Drosophila melanogaster: one gene and its partners. The protein of the gene in region 3 interacts with the protein of the main gene of each other region in a pairwise test. Each region holds a gene or a part of one and is shown on either strand. Other genes may lie near its edges.

What was found.
Region 1: the proteins of frtz (region 3) and CG12620 interact in a two-hybrid assay, tested with the Drosophila melanogaster proteins (one large-scale study listed by BioGRID).
Region 2: the proteins of frtz (region 3) and Rchy1 interact in a two-hybrid assay, tested with the Drosophila melanogaster proteins (one large-scale study listed by BioGRID).

Annotation. Positions count from the first base shown.
Region 1 is NT_033779.5:17,086,066-17,089,745, reverse strand, and holds CG12620 (uncharacterized protein), read right to left. Parts: upstream 2,106-3,680; 5' UTR 2,022-2,105; coding exon 1,158-2,021; 3' UTR 560-1,157; downstream 1-559.
Region 2 is NT_033779.5:6,459,656-6,467,384, forward strand, and holds the start of Rchy1 (ring finger and CHY zinc finger domain containing 1), read right to left. Parts: upstream 6,015-7,729; 5' UTR 5,874-6,014; intron 4,485-5,873; 5' UTR 4,189-4,484; coding exon 3,607-4,188; intron 1,062-3,606; coding exon 900-1,061; intron 827-899; coding exon 668-826; intron 340-667; coding exon 61-339; intron 1-60. Other genes in the region: HemK1 (HemK methyltransferase 1), read right to left, coding at 6,869-7,109, 7,164-7,684.
Region 3 is NT_033779.5:1,710,719-1,717,810, forward strand, and holds frtz (fritz), read right to left. Parts: upstream 5,134-7,092; 5' UTR 4,839-5,133; coding exon 4,421-4,838; intron 3,756-4,420; coding exon 3,455-3,755; intron 3,400-3,454; coding exon 2,449-3,399; intron 2,391-2,448; coding exon 1,879-2,390; intron 1,825-1,878; coding exon 1,427-1,824; intron 1,370-1,426; coding exon 1,210-1,369; intron 1,150-1,209; coding exon 1,034-1,149; 3' UTR 584-1,033; downstream 1-583. Other genes in the region: mRpL48 (mitochondrial ribosomal protein L48), read left to right, coding at 133-567; Rim2 (replication in mitochondria 2), read right to left, coding at 6,385-6,511, 6,880-7,092. UniProt on the Drosophila melanogaster protein: Probable effector of the planar cell polarity signaling pathway which regulates the septin cytoskeleton in both ciliogenesis and collective cell movements. Functions cell autonomously to regulate wing cell hair polarity and number.

The DNA of each region.
Region 1 (3,680 bases), about 15 Mb from region 3:
TATCCGATATCGAATATAATTGGAGAGTAATTGACTCGGTTTTCAAAAGTGTAGGCTGTAAATTGTTTTTTAGCTCATGGAGGTAAGAGAGTTACCGACGGACGTGGCAGTTTTTTCAAACAAAACTTGCACAATTCTTATCACTATACATATTTAACGTGTATACAAAAATTAAACAAAACAATGACCGGTATCGAAAGGGAAAACATGACCGACACAAAAAAGAAAACAAAAGAAAGAAATAGTATGTGTAAACTTCCGTAATTAAAATATTTTAAAAGAATCAAAAACATTTACACGCACAGGCTACAAAGCCATGTTGGCTTGCATAAATGAAAAAAATGGGTATGGATAATAAATGAAATATTGTAATGTAAGTTGAGCTCATACAGATCTGAAAACAAACAAAAGAATTGAAATCGGCACTTGCTTGACAATTATTGTGATGAATGAAAATACCATAATTCTTGTTTATGAATTGAACTAACTAAATATTAATTACATATTACAGAAAGTAAACTTAAAACCAATCCATATTATCCCTAAGAGTAATAATTTTATTAAATTAAAAGGCCAATACAAAATGGCTGTATTTTACGGAATTTCATCGCACACAAAGACTTTTGAAATAATTTCAGCACATTGTCCTTCTAGCTCCTTATTGTCTCATCTTCCTAGTATCCACCCACGCAAAAAAAAGCAAGGAGAAGAATGGAACCCGTTAGGCGTCATTATCGTGCACACTTAGTTATCCCTTTGAATGTCCTCCGTCCCTTCATGTGTGCGCTAGTGCGGGTTTTGTCCTTTATGGCCCAAATAATTGTGCGGTCTCCGGGTCGAGAAAACTATATTTTTAAAGCTGCGCTGGGGAAAGAGAGCGTTGATGGAGTCATTTGAGATCAGAGGCGATTACGGTTATTTGGTGTCTACATTAGCTTGTATGCATTTACGAATATGGGTTTATTTGACTTTACGATTAAAATAAAGCCTTATATAACTTCTGGAATATGAAGTAAAAACATTCGCAGCATTTGGGCTATACGGATTGGATTTTGATTTCCAGCCAACGAAACATTTTCTTAATTTAGGCAACACTAATCTAATGCACAATGAGAAATGGGATCCCATATACATCAATTGCATCAATCAATTTAAGTTTATAAATTTCGCGTTTTTTGACCAGTATGTTTTTTCACACTCGAACTTATGTTTTTCTGTATGGCGCTCAAATTCTTTAGGTCAATATTTTCGCCACGGTCAAGGACCCTAGTGTGTTTTTCTTCTTCTGGAGCTGTTTTATCAATGACTTCCGGAGCAGTTGGTGGTAGTACTGTTTCCGGTTCTGGTTCTGGTTCCGGTTCCGGTCGCGGTTCCACTGGCGGTTCCGGTTGCGGTTCCGGTTGCGGTTCTGGTTCCGCGGGAACGTACACTATCGGCGGATCAGGAGTCTGGCTTATAAGCTTATTATAGCAATGATGGGCGGGATGGAATCCGGGCTCGGGATCCTCCTTTGGCAGACTGTCGTCGGAAATCATCGATTGGTCTGTAGCCCGATCGTATTGGAAGTACGGAAGTAAGTCGTCGGAGTCTGTGCCGCAGGGCGGACACTCCTCTTCGGCGATCTCGGAGATATGTTCATCATCCACGCTTAGTTGACTCTCCGATGACTCTGTGAACTCCTCGCGGATCAGACGCCTGGCCAACTCGACCGTTGAGAACTCAGTGTAGTGCAGCTTTCGGCGTCGTACGAAGGATATGCGTCTGGCTCGCTCTTTGATAGTCTCCAGGAATTCGAAATCTTCGGAGTCGTCCGAGCTGCAGGATGGATCATGGGCGAAGAAGTCCGGCGTCGTGAGCTTCACCTCCTTATGCAGTTTTTCCATTAGCTCCTTATGAGACATGACCTTCTCGCCGGTTTCTCTTTTTATTGACGAGGCCGATTCATTTTCCACTTCATAGGGGTCCGAGTGAACGGGTACTCCCAGGTTCATTTTATCGAACCTTGTTCTTTTAGTCGTCATGGTTATAAGACAAAATGTGTTTGTTTTTTTTTTTTAGGTTCTACTTCTTATTTTTGGGATATATAAAATGTTTATACGTTTAAGTTTTATTTCTGCCCAGACTGAACTAGATGTGTTAGCTTTGATGTTTTAATCTATGTTAACTAGCTTAGCCTTATATCGGAAAAAATTCAGTAATTCATTTTAATCATGATCATTAGAAAAATAATATAATACTTCCAATGCAAATGCCTTAATATATTTGACGCTCTCATTTGCGTTTCGTTTTTTTCTTGTAAATTTACCCCACGACTTCGCTTAATCAAACCATATCGTGGACTTCAGTCTGGCTACCATGGCTACTACATTTTTTGATAACGGCCGCGATTTGCCTACGTTCCATAATTTGATGTCACATTTTTCCCACAACGCGGGTTAAGTGTTTAACCTCTGGTGCGAGTGGGCACAAAAAAAAGGGCGATATCTCGACAAAAGAAATTTGTTTGCGAGCCAATTTCGATTGTGTCAAAAGGACGGTTATTTATTGGACCGCAGGCGTCATTGTCTAGCCATCGATGGGAATAAATATGCCTGTGGCGTCTCACAAGGATGCATAAATTGTCAAAACGAGATTTCGACTTGCGATGAATTTAATTGGATTGCAAAAGTTTCTTCGCGTATCGCAAAACCGAAAATTGAGCTGTTGAAACGTGACGTTTCCACCAACTCAAACGGAACCGCAGCCAATATGCATACAATTAAACTGTATTTTCGGCATCTGGTTTTGGGATAAAAGCGCCTTTTATGGACACTCCATTTGACCCACATTCGAAGAAGGAATTCTGCCAAGAATAAAATGTTTATTTAGCATTTTATGCCAAAAGAGAGAGCGCTAAAATTATTTACGCAGCATCAGGCGTGTCATTTGCATGTGCCACGCCCCAGGCCCCCAGTCACAAAAAATTCAAGGCGATGAATCCCACAAAAATACGCTAAAAGTATTTACATTTGACTCGGAAAAATTATACATTTCCGTGCAAATAAAAAGCAAGTCCAAAGCATCTAGTCGGTGGGCGGGCAAAGGGGCGGACAGCATCGGAGGATGCCCGGAAATAAAACCAGAATCCGAACCAGAAAGCAGATTAGAGATCCTTGAGGAAGGCCACACGAACTCGAAATGCTCTAGGTGACGATTTCCCAAAAAAATATAAATTAAATTGGAAAAATTTCTTTAAGAAAAGCAATACATTGATTGACACATTTTATTTCTTAAATACAAGAAACTATATTAATATTCCAAAAAGTATGAAAGCAGATAAGTGGATTCATTTTGATAATGCCGATGAGATTAAATAAGGTATCGAGAATATCGAGGTGTTGCATTCAGTTCGTAATACTCAAGCCGCTCCTTCGATAAAGGACAACGGCAGGCGTGGCAAAAAAGCGCGTTGCAAAGAGGAAAAGCTTCAAATCCGCAAACAAACACTGTGACAGCTACAATGCGGGGAACTGAAAAGTGGGTGGCGCTGGGCAGAAAAACCCAGTCACCCGACCGAATGAAATGTACTCTCTATTGACATTTGATTCCAGCCTCACTTGGCTGGGAAATAAAAAATATATATGTGTATGTCAGGATGTGTACAAGTGCAGAGCGGACGCAGTTAGACCCGTTAAAGGGGT
Region 2 (7,729 bases), 4.7 Mb from region 3:
AATTGGATAAGGTTATAAGAGCTTTTCATGAATGTTAGTATTATGTATATCTAGTCGTACCTTGTGACAATCGTTGCAGAATATGTGCACTCGCTGATTCTCGTACTTCAGTGGCACCGGCATGCGCTCCGCCTGGTCGTCCAAGTATACCCACAGCGCCGTCATATCGATCAGCGAGGTCTGGCAGGTGGGACAGGTGTAGTGGCCGGAGGCCAGCAGCTGGTCGAAGCACATCTTGTGCAGCAGGTGTCCGCAGTCGGGAATGTGGCAGGGTATGCGCGAAGTGTGGATGTCGCCCAGGCACACGGGGCAGTGCGATCGCGAGATGTTCTCCACGCACTACGGGAAAATAGACACGTTGTCAATTAGCAAGGATTTAGCAATCAGCCATGCCAGTCTCTGGCCCAATTCGCTGTCAATTAATGAAGTCATTGCTTCAGCACATTTGACATTCATATCCACTCAACTGGATCCCAGATTGCAGATCGCAGATCATATATCGCTACATATAGCAATTAGGCAACCGGTTTTGGTAATGAATTGACAAAAAAAAAAAAAAGTTAATGTGTTTCTTTGATTTGCTTTCGAATCGCGGAGGTCAGCATTCCCACTTACAGGCCAAATCTTAATCAAGCCCAATGAAGTGCCAAATGTAGTACCAACTCACCCGGTGGCCATCGATCTTCAGCTGAATAGGTAGGCACATGTTGCACACCTCGCAGTGGAAGAAGTTCTCCGCACCGCCAATGCGACAAATCCCACATCCATGACAATGGTACTGCTGCTTGTCCGCATCATCGAAGAGGTTGCAGATCAGGCAGGTGTACTGTAAGTACATCAAAATGATATTACTAGTAGGGTTTTGCTGTGATTTTTGGACACCTGGATGGATATCTTACCTTACCAAATCTCACGCCGCAATTGAGGCACTGCTCCCGCACCGTTTGCCGCGTATTGCACTCGGAGCATATTAGTTCGGTGAGCGTTTTGCGATCGAAGTGATGCGTCTCGTTCTCGTCGTGGCAAAATCGGCACTTGTAGAACTTGTTGCAGCAGGGGGTCTGAGAAAGATATAGTTGCGTGATCAGTATCAGATCAAATTAGTGCTGAAAAGAAATCGCTGCTCGAAAAAATTCCACTTTAAATGGAGCTGAGATTGCTCCCCGCCACACCTGCCGATGGACTACACCCCTCAGTCAAGGACTACGAAAAACCTATTATCGAGCGGCAATTAGCACGACTCCTAACTCCCCAAATGGAGTTGCTAATTTAAGAAATCTGCCTGGAAACCGACTAAAAAACAAATCTACTAGTGACGTCTACATGCCAAAGGCAATAACTTAGCATTATCATAAACAAGGCACTTGAAACTGAATCGAATTTTGTACGAATTTCGAGTCAAATCAGCGGGTGAATCCCAATCCGATTGTAAAGATGCCAAAGGTACTCGTGTCGTTTAATTAGGTGGCTGCTAATTAGTTCACCTGTCGATGCACAGCTCGAACTACATGATATAGTTCTATCAGTTTTGTCTTGGGGATAAAGTTTGAAAATAAGTTAATTTATGCCCTTAATTATCTTGTGTATCCTCGAGTTCGGCTTAGTTACAGCCAACACCCAGCCATTTGTATCTGCCTCCAGCCTCGCGCACACATCTATCTCCACTATCTTTGAGAATTATTTATAACTTAACAACAGTTTTTTCGTATACAAGTATTTATTTCAACTCTGCTGCTGCTGCGATGATAACACTCGAAGTACAGAACCGAACCGGAGAAGAGTCTTCGAATCCGGTTTCTTTGTCATTCCCCCCGGCTTTCATTGCTGTGCTTCACTAACGATCGTATTTTAATGATCGTTTGCATCTGCAATTGGCTAACTCCAGACATCTCAAATTTATTTAGCCAAGACGAAACAAAGCTTCTAACACAAATTGATACAAGATTCGCGGGAACAGGCGATATCCATGGGGCATTGCTCCACTTGGGGGATTGCACATACTGCTCTCAGCTTATGTCCACATTCATGTATACATTTATTTCACGCACTGTCGGGCGAAAATAAATATTTGACTATAAAATAACCCAGCTGATTCAACACTCAATGGGCACCTCATTAGTGCACAAAACCCTCGCTTATCCGAATTTCTCGCGGTGCACAGACGAAAGCAAAAACCTCTACATTCGAATTTTATTAAAATGTGGGACAGATTGAAGCGTGTGTACGGATTTACGTGACATTTTTTGGAAAGTATTGTAAGGCCATAGCGCATAATACAGAATTTTTGGGGAATTAATAATTCATATCGCGAATTGGCTGCTTTTCAACAACAAATAAGCGCTCACTACTGTTGGAATTATAAGTATTTAAATATTTACATTTAACTTTCTTTTTCTTTATTTAATAATCCAGGTCATTCACAAACAAATCTATCTAATCAAGTGCAGCTGCAGTCTTCTCTGCATGAGATACTTTATACATGAAATGGTTACCACTTTCCCCAGCACTGAGTTACTTTTCCCACCTTCGAACTTCTGTACTTATCACCTTACGATAATTATGTCTGCTGGCTCTACTAATTGTTAAGGTAAAGAACCTGAATATAGCCGTGCTACGATTGCTTTATATGCACACACAACATTTTTAGATGCCCCATAATTTGTTATCCAAACGCGAGCGATCAAGACAAACGCATTGTTTGCCCAGATGAATGGCGAATGGAGGTGTTAACTGGCCAGTGGCCACTCGCCTCCTGCTCAGTTCCTGCTCAGCGGAGCATGCTGACCAGTTAGTTTTTTGGATGCCGGACATCGTCAAGCTGTCCACACAAGCCAAACACTTGCCGTGCAAATAGCGATGCCCTCCAATTGAATTCAAAATCTAGTCAGCAGACAGACACAAAAGAATCTTCGCCAAAGGTGTCTGTTTAGAGTTTAGCCACTTTATTTGTTTAGGAACGAATAAATAAAGGTTAAATGCGCCCATTTTCAGGAAGGTAGCTGTGTTGGATAGACACACACACACACATAGATAGATAGATGGATAAATAGGCATACAAATGCCATTTAGAGGCGCCATCATAATCTTCTTGAAAATTTTCCAAATGGGTGAAATGTTTAATGGCTTTATCACTTTGAATTTATTTCAATGTATTTTTAGGATTCATTTTATAAAAGTGAAATGACTGATCCGCTTTCTAATCATGACATAGGGGTTCCAATTGCATAATTCTTTATCTGATGACCCAGGAATTGAACTATACCCGTATAAAATAAAAAAAGAACTTTCAAAATTGAAGTTTGTTCTTATATCACATAAGTTGACTGGTTTCACATTTGAGGTTTGAATAAACTAATCTCACTACAAGTAAGACTGCTAGATACATGGATCCGTCTAGTCTTTCTACGAACATCTATCTACTAATCTTAAGAATGGTTATAGATACTACGATACACTAAAAAAGGATTAAAATTTGTATTGATATACATATCAAAGAAGTTCAAGTGTATAACTTTTATAACTTTTCTGGGGCTTTTCCTTTTATGTAATGCTTGGAAAAGCATCCATAGATAATATGAATGGAGTTGGACTGCCTGTTGCACTTACCACGAACATGGCCCGCCGCTTGTAGTGAGCGCATCCGAAGCGCAATGACTCCGGAGTTGTTGGCTGCGCACCGCAGATGTTGCTGCTGCACTTGTTGCTGTTGCAGCTGCCGTCGCTGCTGCTGCTGCTGCTGTTGCACGATGGCTGTGCATGCTGCTGAGCCTCCGCGGCGGGGTTACGTGAGCATGCTGCAAAGCGATGGAGCTGGTCCTCCTCCATGGGCTCCGCCATGCCATCGCAATTGAGACTCGGCGTCGATTTGCATCTTCGCAGCTTGGCGTGCGCTGGATGATACTTGCCCGTCATCGTTGTGGGCGTCACAATCAGCTGGTGTTGCTGGTGGAGATGGGGATTGGGATGGGGATGGGGATGGGTATGTGGCTGCTGCGCTATCTGAGCAAGTGGAAGCGAAGCGGGCAGAGCAGCCTCCGCTGAGGTCGTCGTGGCTGACGATGAATTTAAATTGACTTGATTGGGCTCCTTTGTATTGGTAACTATTTGTACATCGATGCCGCCGCTGCCCATGTATCTGTTGTGGTTTTCATTTAGCGATATTCGGCGCGTTCGCTGGCGGTTCTTCATTTTGCTGCAGGAGCTAACTCTATGTATATATAGAGTTATGTATGTACGTCTATAAAAGTGATTTTCCACTATGCCTCGCAGCTGCAGTAGTCGTGGTTAATTGCTGGCCCTTTCAATTGCCGCCGCGAAGCATTTAAATTACTGGCCGATGCTGTTGTCGTTGTGCCACATGTAGACTTTGTATCCGCACTCAAAAAACCGACTGTCCGGTTTCCCTTTTCACGCGATCGCAACTAACTTTCGTTTGTCCAGCTCATCCTTGGGTATTAATGGGCTCGCACAGGTGACACACTCGGCTGAAGCGATTGAAAAGTGTGGGAAAGTGGTAAGTATTCCATTAGCAGGCCATTTCTCACACTCCGATCGATCAGATTAGAGTCTAAGCCGGGTTAACCCCCCACACCCCCACACAATTTTTGACACACAAATGAAACTACCGAGGCGGCGTATTTGCATTTCAATGTTTCCCAGTCCCCGACTGCGAAAGGCCATCTAAACTAGATAACGACTATCTTGATTTTCACTCCGTTTTCTTAGCCGTCGCGCACTGTACACAACGTACAATGGGGAACAAGAAGTAGTAACTTTATGTAAGAAATTATCAAATAAAAGATCACCTATGATGACTTTCTTCCATTTCTGTATAGTTTTGGATCAGATATGGAAACCTATTAAACCCATATCATTATAAAATGACAATTAACCTGTTAAGAACCCAAATATGTGCATATGAACTACTATCTTGGCCGCTGCTGTTTTTGGATGGGACCTTGTGCCATGTGAGCGGCAGCATATAAATCGCTTGCTTAGCCTGCAGGTCGCCAAAAACGTTCACAGCTCCACGGATTGGGAATCGCAGTGCCTTGGCACACGGTGCGGATGATGAATTAAAATGCGGGCAGGGAGCAGCCAGCCACACACTTGTTAACACAATCGGCGTGCGACTTTCGCTCATCGGTTGGCTGTTGCTGCAAGTCGGTGTTGCACGTAGCAGGTGCACATATTGATGCTGCCAAAGGAGGCATTACCAGCTATATATAAATGTATATATGTACATACTTTTATATATACTTTTATTTGCACAGCGCGGCAAGCTGCAAATTCGTTGCCGAATCTTGTTTGCTCAGATTGTTATTCGCATTTTCTGCGCCGGGGAGCAGGGACCGACAATAAATATTGAAAGTGTGCTAAAATTACAAACGCAAGGCGATTAAGCCAGCCTCGCCGGAAAACCAGTCGGCGAAAAGAACGCAAGTTTGAACTCGATTCAATTCGGTATTCATGTTTACGCACGCACGCACTCACGCACACAGGCACACACTTGCACGCGTCGATCGGGCGGATAAATGCATTAAGTAATGTCACGATCTGGCTAATTGGTTTCTAAAAGTTTCCAATCCACATTCAAACCGCCTTCAAATCGCAGTTTGGGCGTATGTATATATATATACATGTACATATATATGCACATTCATTCATTTACCCAAATCTATATGGTCAAATTTATGTAGAATTTTTAAAATCAATTTCTCGTTTAACGTGTTTCTCGTTTTTGTTTTGTTTCGGCGCTTTTTAAGTTCCCTCTTCTTGACTTTCATCAAGCGCTCATTGTGATATCCACTGAAACTCCGACTTTAATTATGATTTAGCCATTTGTTAATTATACTACACATATGTATGCGTACTTGAAAGTGAAACAACACACACCAGCCGAACGAAGGAGATCGCAGCTCGAAATCGTCAATTGAATTAAAGAGCTACGACAATCTAAATCCGCGTTCCACTCGCGCACCCGGATTCCGCAGACTCGTCCGGCGCGAGTTTCGACTTCCAACTGGCAACGGAAGTTAGCCACTTGTTGCTCCGAGCCACTCTGTCGGAGCTTTTATCCGCTCCGGAGCTTAAAGCTCTCCAGCGGAGCGGTTACAACAAGATTCAGATGCGAAGTCGGGGGATTTATGCACTCGGGTTCATAATTATGGTAATCCTTGTGGACATGTGTCCTTGTTTTCATAATCAGTACACCTATAAGCATTAAAGTGGTAACTTTAAGCAAAAACTTTCTAATTTGCATAGAAATATTCTGATTCTATATATTGACAGGATACACATCTTTCAGGCCAAAAATATGGTTAGCATTTTGCTTATCGCAGATATAGAATACATCAGTTTGATTAAACAGCATTATACTCGATCCGCGATGATCATTAACACCCTCCAATTTATGGCAGCAAGCCTCTGGTTATAAATCATAATCGCCATAGTTTAAATCAGTGACCAGTTATTATAGGTGCATTATACTTTTAACCTATTGATCTTTAAAATCATGTTAATCCATTATTATAGGATCAAAAATGCAGTAGAAAGCCTTAGGTAAAAGTCGTTGTGGTTTTTGTATACTGATAATAATATGGTCATAAATCAAACAGCTAATTGCATTGTGCAATTTATACAGGTATATTTGTGAAGTAATACCGCCTGCGGTTGTTGCTAAAAGATTCAGAGACGAAACTTAAGGATTAATAGCGCTATATATTCTGTTTATATAGGTGTGAGTCTCTGGGCAGCGTGCAGGTATGTCTGGTCTTAAATCAAATCACAGCTAAATGCATGGGCAACGTTATAGCTAATTGCATTGTCAAAGTCATAGCATTCCGTCCTGTCTATGGCGCAATCTCGCCTAGACCTTCTCGATCTGAACGAATCTCTCGCGCTGATACTGGTCACTGTAGCCGGCGATGAACTTGAGCCGGCCCTCGTACTTCAGATTCATAATGGTCTTCACCATCGGCGGGTGGTCGTTGCCCAGTTCCAGCCAGAGCTTGCCACCGGGACGCAGGTGCCGACAAGCCAAGTCGAAAACCAGTCGAGCCACCCTCAATCCATCGGACCCACCGTCCAGGGCATTAAGGTTCTCATACCTGGGGATATAAGATAGTTAGTGCACTGCATCCATCTGGTATAACATCACTTACACCACGACTTCGGGATGCAGAAACTGAAACTCCTCAGTTTTCACATACGGAGGATTGGAGATGATCAAATCGTACTTCTTGTCCTTCAGCGCCTCCGGCAGGTACTTGTCCTCCTCCATGGTGTGGTTGTGTACCTCAAATCGATTCAGCAGCCCCAGCATTTTGGCATTCTCCGCAGCCAGAACGGTTGCCGCCTTGCTACGCTCAATGGCAGTGGCCACCACCTGCGGCAGACTGTGTAGCATGGACAAGGACATGGCGCCCGAGCCGCAGCCCACCTCCAAAAGATCGACGTGCTTTGCGTTCTTGTGATCATCGATCACCAGGCGCATAAACTCCTCCGTTTCGGGGCGTGGAATGAAGACCGACGGCGATGTCTTCAGCGTAATGTCCATGAAGTCCCACTCGCCAATGATGTGCTGCAACGGCATGCGGGCACAACGGGCCTCCAGGAAGCGCTCGAAATCCGCCAGCTGGCCGGGATTTAGCTGCAGCTGGTCAAATGAGTCAGGAACCGAACTCTACGGAACGTAAACATGGTTAGTGATGTTGATAGCCAGCTTTTC
Region 3 (7,092 bases):
AAGGATCTTAACCCCTTTTTAAATATTACTTGCTTTGAGCATAGTAGCATAATCTTGTAGACAGATTTCAATCAGATCAGACTAGATGAGCAATTATTTTGGTGGTCAGTAACCATTGTTCTCCGTTTGCAGTCCCTCAAGCCGAAATTCCCGCAGTACGAGAGCCTGAATGTGCAGATCAAGGGCTACGACTACCCGCAGCTGGAGAGCTACCAGAGGTTTCTGCACGGATTGGCCGAGTACCTGGACTTGGACGTCTCCGACTGCTACGCCCTCCCTCCGCAAAAGACCACGGTGCAGCGACTGCGGCCCAACTCCACGGTCATCGAATCGGAGTACAAGCTGACCACCTACGAGCGCAACCTGCAGCTGAACAATGTGGATGCGCCAGTCTATCCGCAGTTCTTGCGCCTGGCCCAGGCGGCGCTGCCCGAGGGTGTGAGCTTGCAGGTGCAGGAGTACACCGACGACTGCGAGGAGCGGCGCTACGTGCCCGACAAGGAGCTGCTCGACCTGAAGGACGAGCTGGAGCGCATGGGCGGACCCACCACCACCAGGAAGAAGTAGGCGGCGCCTCCGATTTGGCAAACATTTAATGCTTAGCTTTAATGAGTAACCTGTGTAAAGAGTATAGAGAACCTATGAGTAAAACTTTCCTATTTAAAGCTTTGCACTAACTGGGACGGCAATAGTTTAGCCGCCGTTTACAGAAGTTAATATTCTAATACAATTTCACGTGTCTCTTTTATTTTTGATCTGTCCTTTAGCTTGGTTCAACAGCGACTGACTGCCGCGCTCTCTGCAGAGTGGCGAGTCGATTAGTCGATAAGTTTCTCGATAATATTTGTATGTTAAGGATGGGTGTATGAGTGTATAAGCTTATGACTAGATTGGCTATGTATAATTAGGTATGTATGACTAAGAGTAAAGGAAGAGGGTAGAAGGAGCAGCCTACTACAATAGTTACAAACGATTGGAAGACGCAGCGCTTAACCGTTGTGTGGTGTACGCCTGGGAATTGCACTATGAATTATTAGACCACGCCGAAGTGGACCACCTTGATGGACGACGAGGAGGAGGAGGAGTTGCCGCCCTTGCTGCTGCTCTTGGGTTCTTCCTCGCGTCGTCGGATGGGCGGCTTAGTCACATCTGCGAAGAAATGACACGGTCAATGGGGCAAGGTTATTGGTGAACTCAACAAATACCCACTGGTCGTAATGGGGTTGAAATCCTTTAGATACTCGTCGTTCGGATGACAGAGCGGCAGGCTGTCTGCGAGCTCCTTTTTAGGATTTGTCAGATGTCGCGCAGCGGGCCTGGAGTAACCATTTCTCTTGGGTGGCATTGGCTTTTCCTTGCGAGGAATTTCCTGTTCGAGTAAGAGCATTAGTAAACTGTCACATCATCGATTGATTTGTTAACTCACTGGCACCACCGCCACTTGAATTGTATCCGAGAACTTGACTTTGTTCTTTTCGGCCGTTTGTGACTTTGCGGGCGTGGCGGGTGCTTCTCCGTTGGTGGGTGCTGGATTCGCCGGGTTGGACAATATGGATGCGGTGGGTTTCTTTTGCAGCAGGCGCTTCTGGTAGTCCTCGCTGGTGAGCGATGGCAGCATGGCGGGAATATTGCCAGAGACAAGCGGATGTTGATAAAACTTGGGCTGATAGGACCCTGTCGGCGGAGGCGAAGCTGGCATCGTGCTGAACTGACCCAGCTGGGCGCTCTGATCTGGAATGTTTGAAGGCGGAAGACGAGGAAGTGGACTACTAGCCATAGGCAGACCCACCGTCTGATCCGGCACGTCCTGGGACCACAAATTGCCTGAAATAATGGATAAATTATTTAAGTTATGAAGGGAATTTTCTTCACACGAACCATTTGGATGCAGACTCTTTGCGGGCGCCTGCTGCAGACTACTGTTGGACTTCAGGGTTAGACTCGCCAGCGAAGATGTTGGCGGCGCTATTGAAACCTTCGGCAAGGGCGGCCTCAGTTCCGGTTTCGGTATGTTGATCTTGATCATCTCAGCGTTGAATACCTTCGACTTGAACGAGGGCAGCGGTGGCACATAGTTCTTCAGGACCTGCTGGCTTTGTGGCTGACTTGCGCCTAGTCCGGTTTCGGGGGCAGTTCCTGCTCCCTGACCGCGCAACATGTCCGAGCAGGTGGACAGCGAACAGGCCGACTCCGAGCGCAGGTCACAGGTCAGGCTGAGATTGCCGTTGGCGCGATCTTCCTCGTGGATTATGGCAGCTGCCTGACTGAAGGCCACCTGGGCGAACTCACTCAGGCTTGAGATGCACTTGGTTAGGTTGTACAGGTCCATGAAGATGTCATAGTCGGCCACATCCTGGGCGATTTCGAAGGCCTCAGCGAAGAGGTTTTTGCTGCAAGCAACGAAAGGATTGAGCATAAAAGTGGCATGTTCACACGAGCTCAACTCACCGCAGCAGATAGAAGCAGAAGCGGCGCTTCAGATCGTACACCTGATCGCTGAACTCGTCCTTCGTCTCCTCGGAAAGCGTGTGGGCGAATGTCTTCAACGCTCTGGCCATCAGCTCGATGCGAGGTCGTCGCTGGTCACCGCCGAAGAACACATAGTTGGCTATCTTGTGCAGCGTAATCAGGCACATGGCTCCGTAGGTCTCCCAGTTGAGGGCGGCCAGGACATTGACCGCTCTGTCCGGCTGCTGCAGCCGCAGATACTTGTCCGCAATGACGTCCGCAGTGAGTCCGGAATTGTGGATGTCGCCGCGCATTCCGGTGCCGCCAAAGATGCGCATGCAGGCCAAAGGTCCCTGTTCGTACACCAGCAGCAGCAGGCAATCCGTCTGGGCGTAGGTGTGCTTAAAAGTGGACAAATCTGGCTTTCGGCTGAAGGCGACACTCAGCAGCGTTGGCTGGGCCACGAAGTAGTGCGACAGATCCAGCAAGCTGGACGGCGTCACATTCTCGCTAACCAGCTGATGGCCAATGGTGGCCAGCGCCAGGTCGAAGCACTGCAGCACCGATCGCTCGTTGGCCACGCAAAGCATGGCGGAGTCGCAGTGCCAGGCGCACTGATTGGGCACGATCTCAATCTGGTTGGCGTACTTTGTCGACTGCTGGACCAGGTCGTGCAGGCAGATATTGCGATCGACGCTGCCCAGGAAGAGCTTCTCCTGGTCGGGGCTGAAGGCAAAGGAGCAGATCTGGGCGCCCATTGGAATGGAGGTAATGGCGGTGCGCTGCATCTTGCCGGCGGCCAGTTCGTAGGAGCAGATTTCTGCGCTTATGTCGCCCTTGCGGGAAACCTTCTGCTCCAGGGTGATGATCTGGCTCTCGCTGCTTCGCAGGAAGTCCACGCACAGCGGATCGTTCTCCGACCAGCAATAGGCAATCGATTCCAGCTGCAAGCTGAGCAAAGCGATTAGACTGGGCCATGGAGTGGGAGTTGTACTGTGCAACTTACCCCTTGATCTTGAACACATGTATGTTGGCACGATCTTGGTCCCTTATCGTTGGCCTCCAGGGATACACCTCGTTCTGCGAGGACTGCGTCCAAACCACGAACAGATCGAAGCTGGCGTTAACTGTGAGGTGGCGGGATAGTTTGCGCTCTGTGGCGCCCGGTATGATCACGTGGAAGATGCGCGGATCCATATTGGCGATCTTCTCCGGTCCCTGGGAGCGAGCATTAGGCCTCTGCAGATGCACCACCGTCAGCTGGTTGGTATTGTAGGCCAAGACGATGTGGGAACGGGTGAAAAAAGCTGGCGAGACAACGGATGCGGGCGCACGACGAGAAAAGAGACACAAGCGACAAAGCTGAATGAGTGGCTCGAACAAAACATGGAAAGCCGGAGGATGGTGGATGGGGGAAAGGGGTTGGGGGTTCGCATATTTACAGGCAACAAAACAAGCCAGCAGATTAATTAAAAATTACAATAATTGCATGCCCTGCATGTGTGCGTGCGGCTGTGTTGGTGTGGGAAAGTGCAAATCAAGTCGCACTTGTTGCCAATGCAAATTTCTCCATAACTGCACAAGCAGCACTCCGCGGAGCAAGGCCAAATGCGGACTGCACTCTATCGAATGACTGATACCCTGGATGACAAGCGGCAAACAGCACAAAGAACTAAATGCAGGACAGCTTTTATAGCTGAGAGCTTAGTGAATAATTAAATGGCATGCATGTGTTTCTAGCAAGCTGTCTTGGTAATTCGTTCTAATGATGAGGAACCTTTAATTACGCCTGAAATAGCCATTATGTATTGCGTGATGTTAACGCATATTAACTGATTTTCGAACGCTGCAAGTTGAGATGTCTGCCAGTCGAGCTGCACATGCAGAAATGCAATGCCCAAGCTGATTGATGGATGGCTCTAATGCGATGGAGGGCGGGCTGGAGCGGGTGAAAGGAGAGAATCGCACATACCATCCGTAATGACCTCGGAGGCGAGCTTGCCCACCAGGTACTTCTCGAAGACCATGCGCAGAATGTCGCCCGTGTAGATGTCCACGCAGATGTGGGCGATCAGGCCGTGTGAGAAGAGGAGCAGCACCTGCGCCGCGTCCTGCCACTCGGAGTGGATGATCCTGTGCTGGCGCAGCAGGTCCTCCAGCTTCTTGAGGTTGTCCTTCAAGCGGCCGGTGGACTTGCGACCAGAGTTCTTCAGCACGGCCAGTCCATTGCGACGCTCCGTATAGTCTCGCTTGGCCAGGCAGGCGAGGTCCTGCTGCTCCTGCTCCTTGTCGCGCTGCCTGAGGTAGCGAAAGGCGCCCAGGTCCTGGCTCTTGATCCGCACCACATCCTCGCGCAACGTGGTCCAGAAATGGGTCTCGCTGAGCAGCATATTCAGGCCTCCAGTGCATCGATTTGCATGGCGGAATGATGGGTGTCAACGCGACTCGATCAGCTCGATCTCGATTTGTTGGCGTGTGCCTTTCAAGCTGCTCCAATTGCACTGATTGCTTTGTATCGGGGTTAATTGCGCTGCTCTATGACTGCTCTGCGACTCGTTATCAAGGTTGCTCGCGGAATAGCCAACGAATTAGCACTTTGGCCAGGATTTTTCGCTTTAAACAAACTTTGTTTATGAAAATAAAATAAACTTGTTGCTCGAAACACTGCTTACGTTACTAGAGACGGCACTTTGTTACGTCGCTGAGCGTGGTGGTGGCGTGATATAGATGGACTACAACTGCGATCGCTCACGTGGTGGAGATCTTCGATGGAGCACATAGGTTGTGAACCAGGCTATGCTATGTTTTTAGCACGTACCCGAACCAGGATCTAAATTTTTGAAATTCAGAAAAATAAAATATTTACAATAAGCTACCACTACTTTCGCAGTGTAGTAGCTAGCCAATAAATCACTTTAATTTAGTTGTGCGAAATCGTATTATCTTGGCCAAATCGGCTTATCTCATCTCACTTTTATGGGCGGCAGTCTGGTTAGCCAAGATGAACTATGTTCGACTGCAGACGATTGTTAAGATAAGATAATGTACATATATATTAAATGGGAAACGAGTGGGTTATTTTTAAACAAAATTGTTGTATTTATTGATTTCACCATCAAATCGGATTGCAATCAATTATTCACAGTGGTTTCCTTAGTTCTTTGCTCATTATCAGTGAAATACGTTTTGCGTGGAGGGGGGGGGGATAACTAACTAACTAGCTAACTAATGGACTAAATAAACAGCAAAAATTGTATCAATATAGTTAAAGTAATATAGTAGAGTAATGATAACTAAATCGTATATCGCATTTGAGGAAACTTAACGGAAACTTTTACAGTTTACGAATCGGATCGGTCGGCTTTATATCTATATATATATATATTTAGCGGCATCTACTGGCAACTGCGGCCGATTCAACATTTTGTGCTTACAACTAAGAAAACTACGCCAGCGAACTCACTCTTTAACTATTTACAATGCACTCTGAGCGAATCGAGTCCTATGTACACTATATTATCCAAGTATCAACCACATTTATACACTCAATATATATTGTAACTTTAACTAAATAGCAGCCTTTTCAAATTTTGATAACGTTTCGCCCTGCGGTGGCATACCACATCCTTCTGTGGCATGCAGCAAGTGGGTTTAGGGTGTGGATGGTGCACTTCGATCCTGGTGCGTGTTTCCCATTATTGGTTTTTTCTTTGTTTGCTTCTTTTTTTTTTTCGATTGGTTGGCCAACGTTCAACGTCTAACGTCTTAAGTCTATCGAGTTCGTTTCATATCTGACTTAGAAGCTAGTTAACTAAGAATTTGCGCTCGTTGGTTTGGATCGTTTAAAAACGAGGGATAAAATTACATAAAGTTGCAGCAGTCGCGTCTACATATGCACAGATTGGGTTACTCCTTCTCCAGTCCTTTGAAAGGCATCTAAAAGTCGTAGAACTCGTTCGATTTGTTGTTGAAGCGCCGCGTGAGCACATAGACGACCGCCTCATAGGTGGCCATCATGATCGCCGTGTTGGGAATCTGTCGCACCAGCTGCGTGGCCAAGCCTCTGTGGAAATAGTTGGTAAAGTTTACAATTAGTAGGAGAATTTGCTAAGGTAGAGCTCTCATATATAAAACACCTCGAGTGAGCACGCTCGAGAGTGATAATCAAATTAAGGTAAACAAACAAAAAATATGCGACGCAAAAGAATTTAAATAGATTTCACGAATTCGTGGGTGGCACATTATGATAATTCATTAGCTTATATGTATATGTTTCTTATATACATGTCGGAGTGCAAGTGGGATTCCCTTCGATTCTATTTCAAGACGGATTCAAGGGAACTACACGAACAAGGGAATCCCTAAGTACAAGTTGATTGCCTTAATGTCGTATCAAATTGAAAATTCACTCTGCTCATCTATTTTACCCACCTGTAGAGTCCTGCTCTGCCCTCCTCCTTCCAAACAGTGTGCAGGGTCTGCCAGAAGGAGTTGTATTTGTTGCCCTCCTCCCGCAGACGAGTGCGTGCCACTTCGTGGGGATAGGCGATGCAGGAGGCGATGGTTTTGGAAACAGCGCCAGCCATCATGAACTCCAGAAAGTCGCGGGATCCCTTGGTGTCCGTATGCCGCTGATTTCGCTGC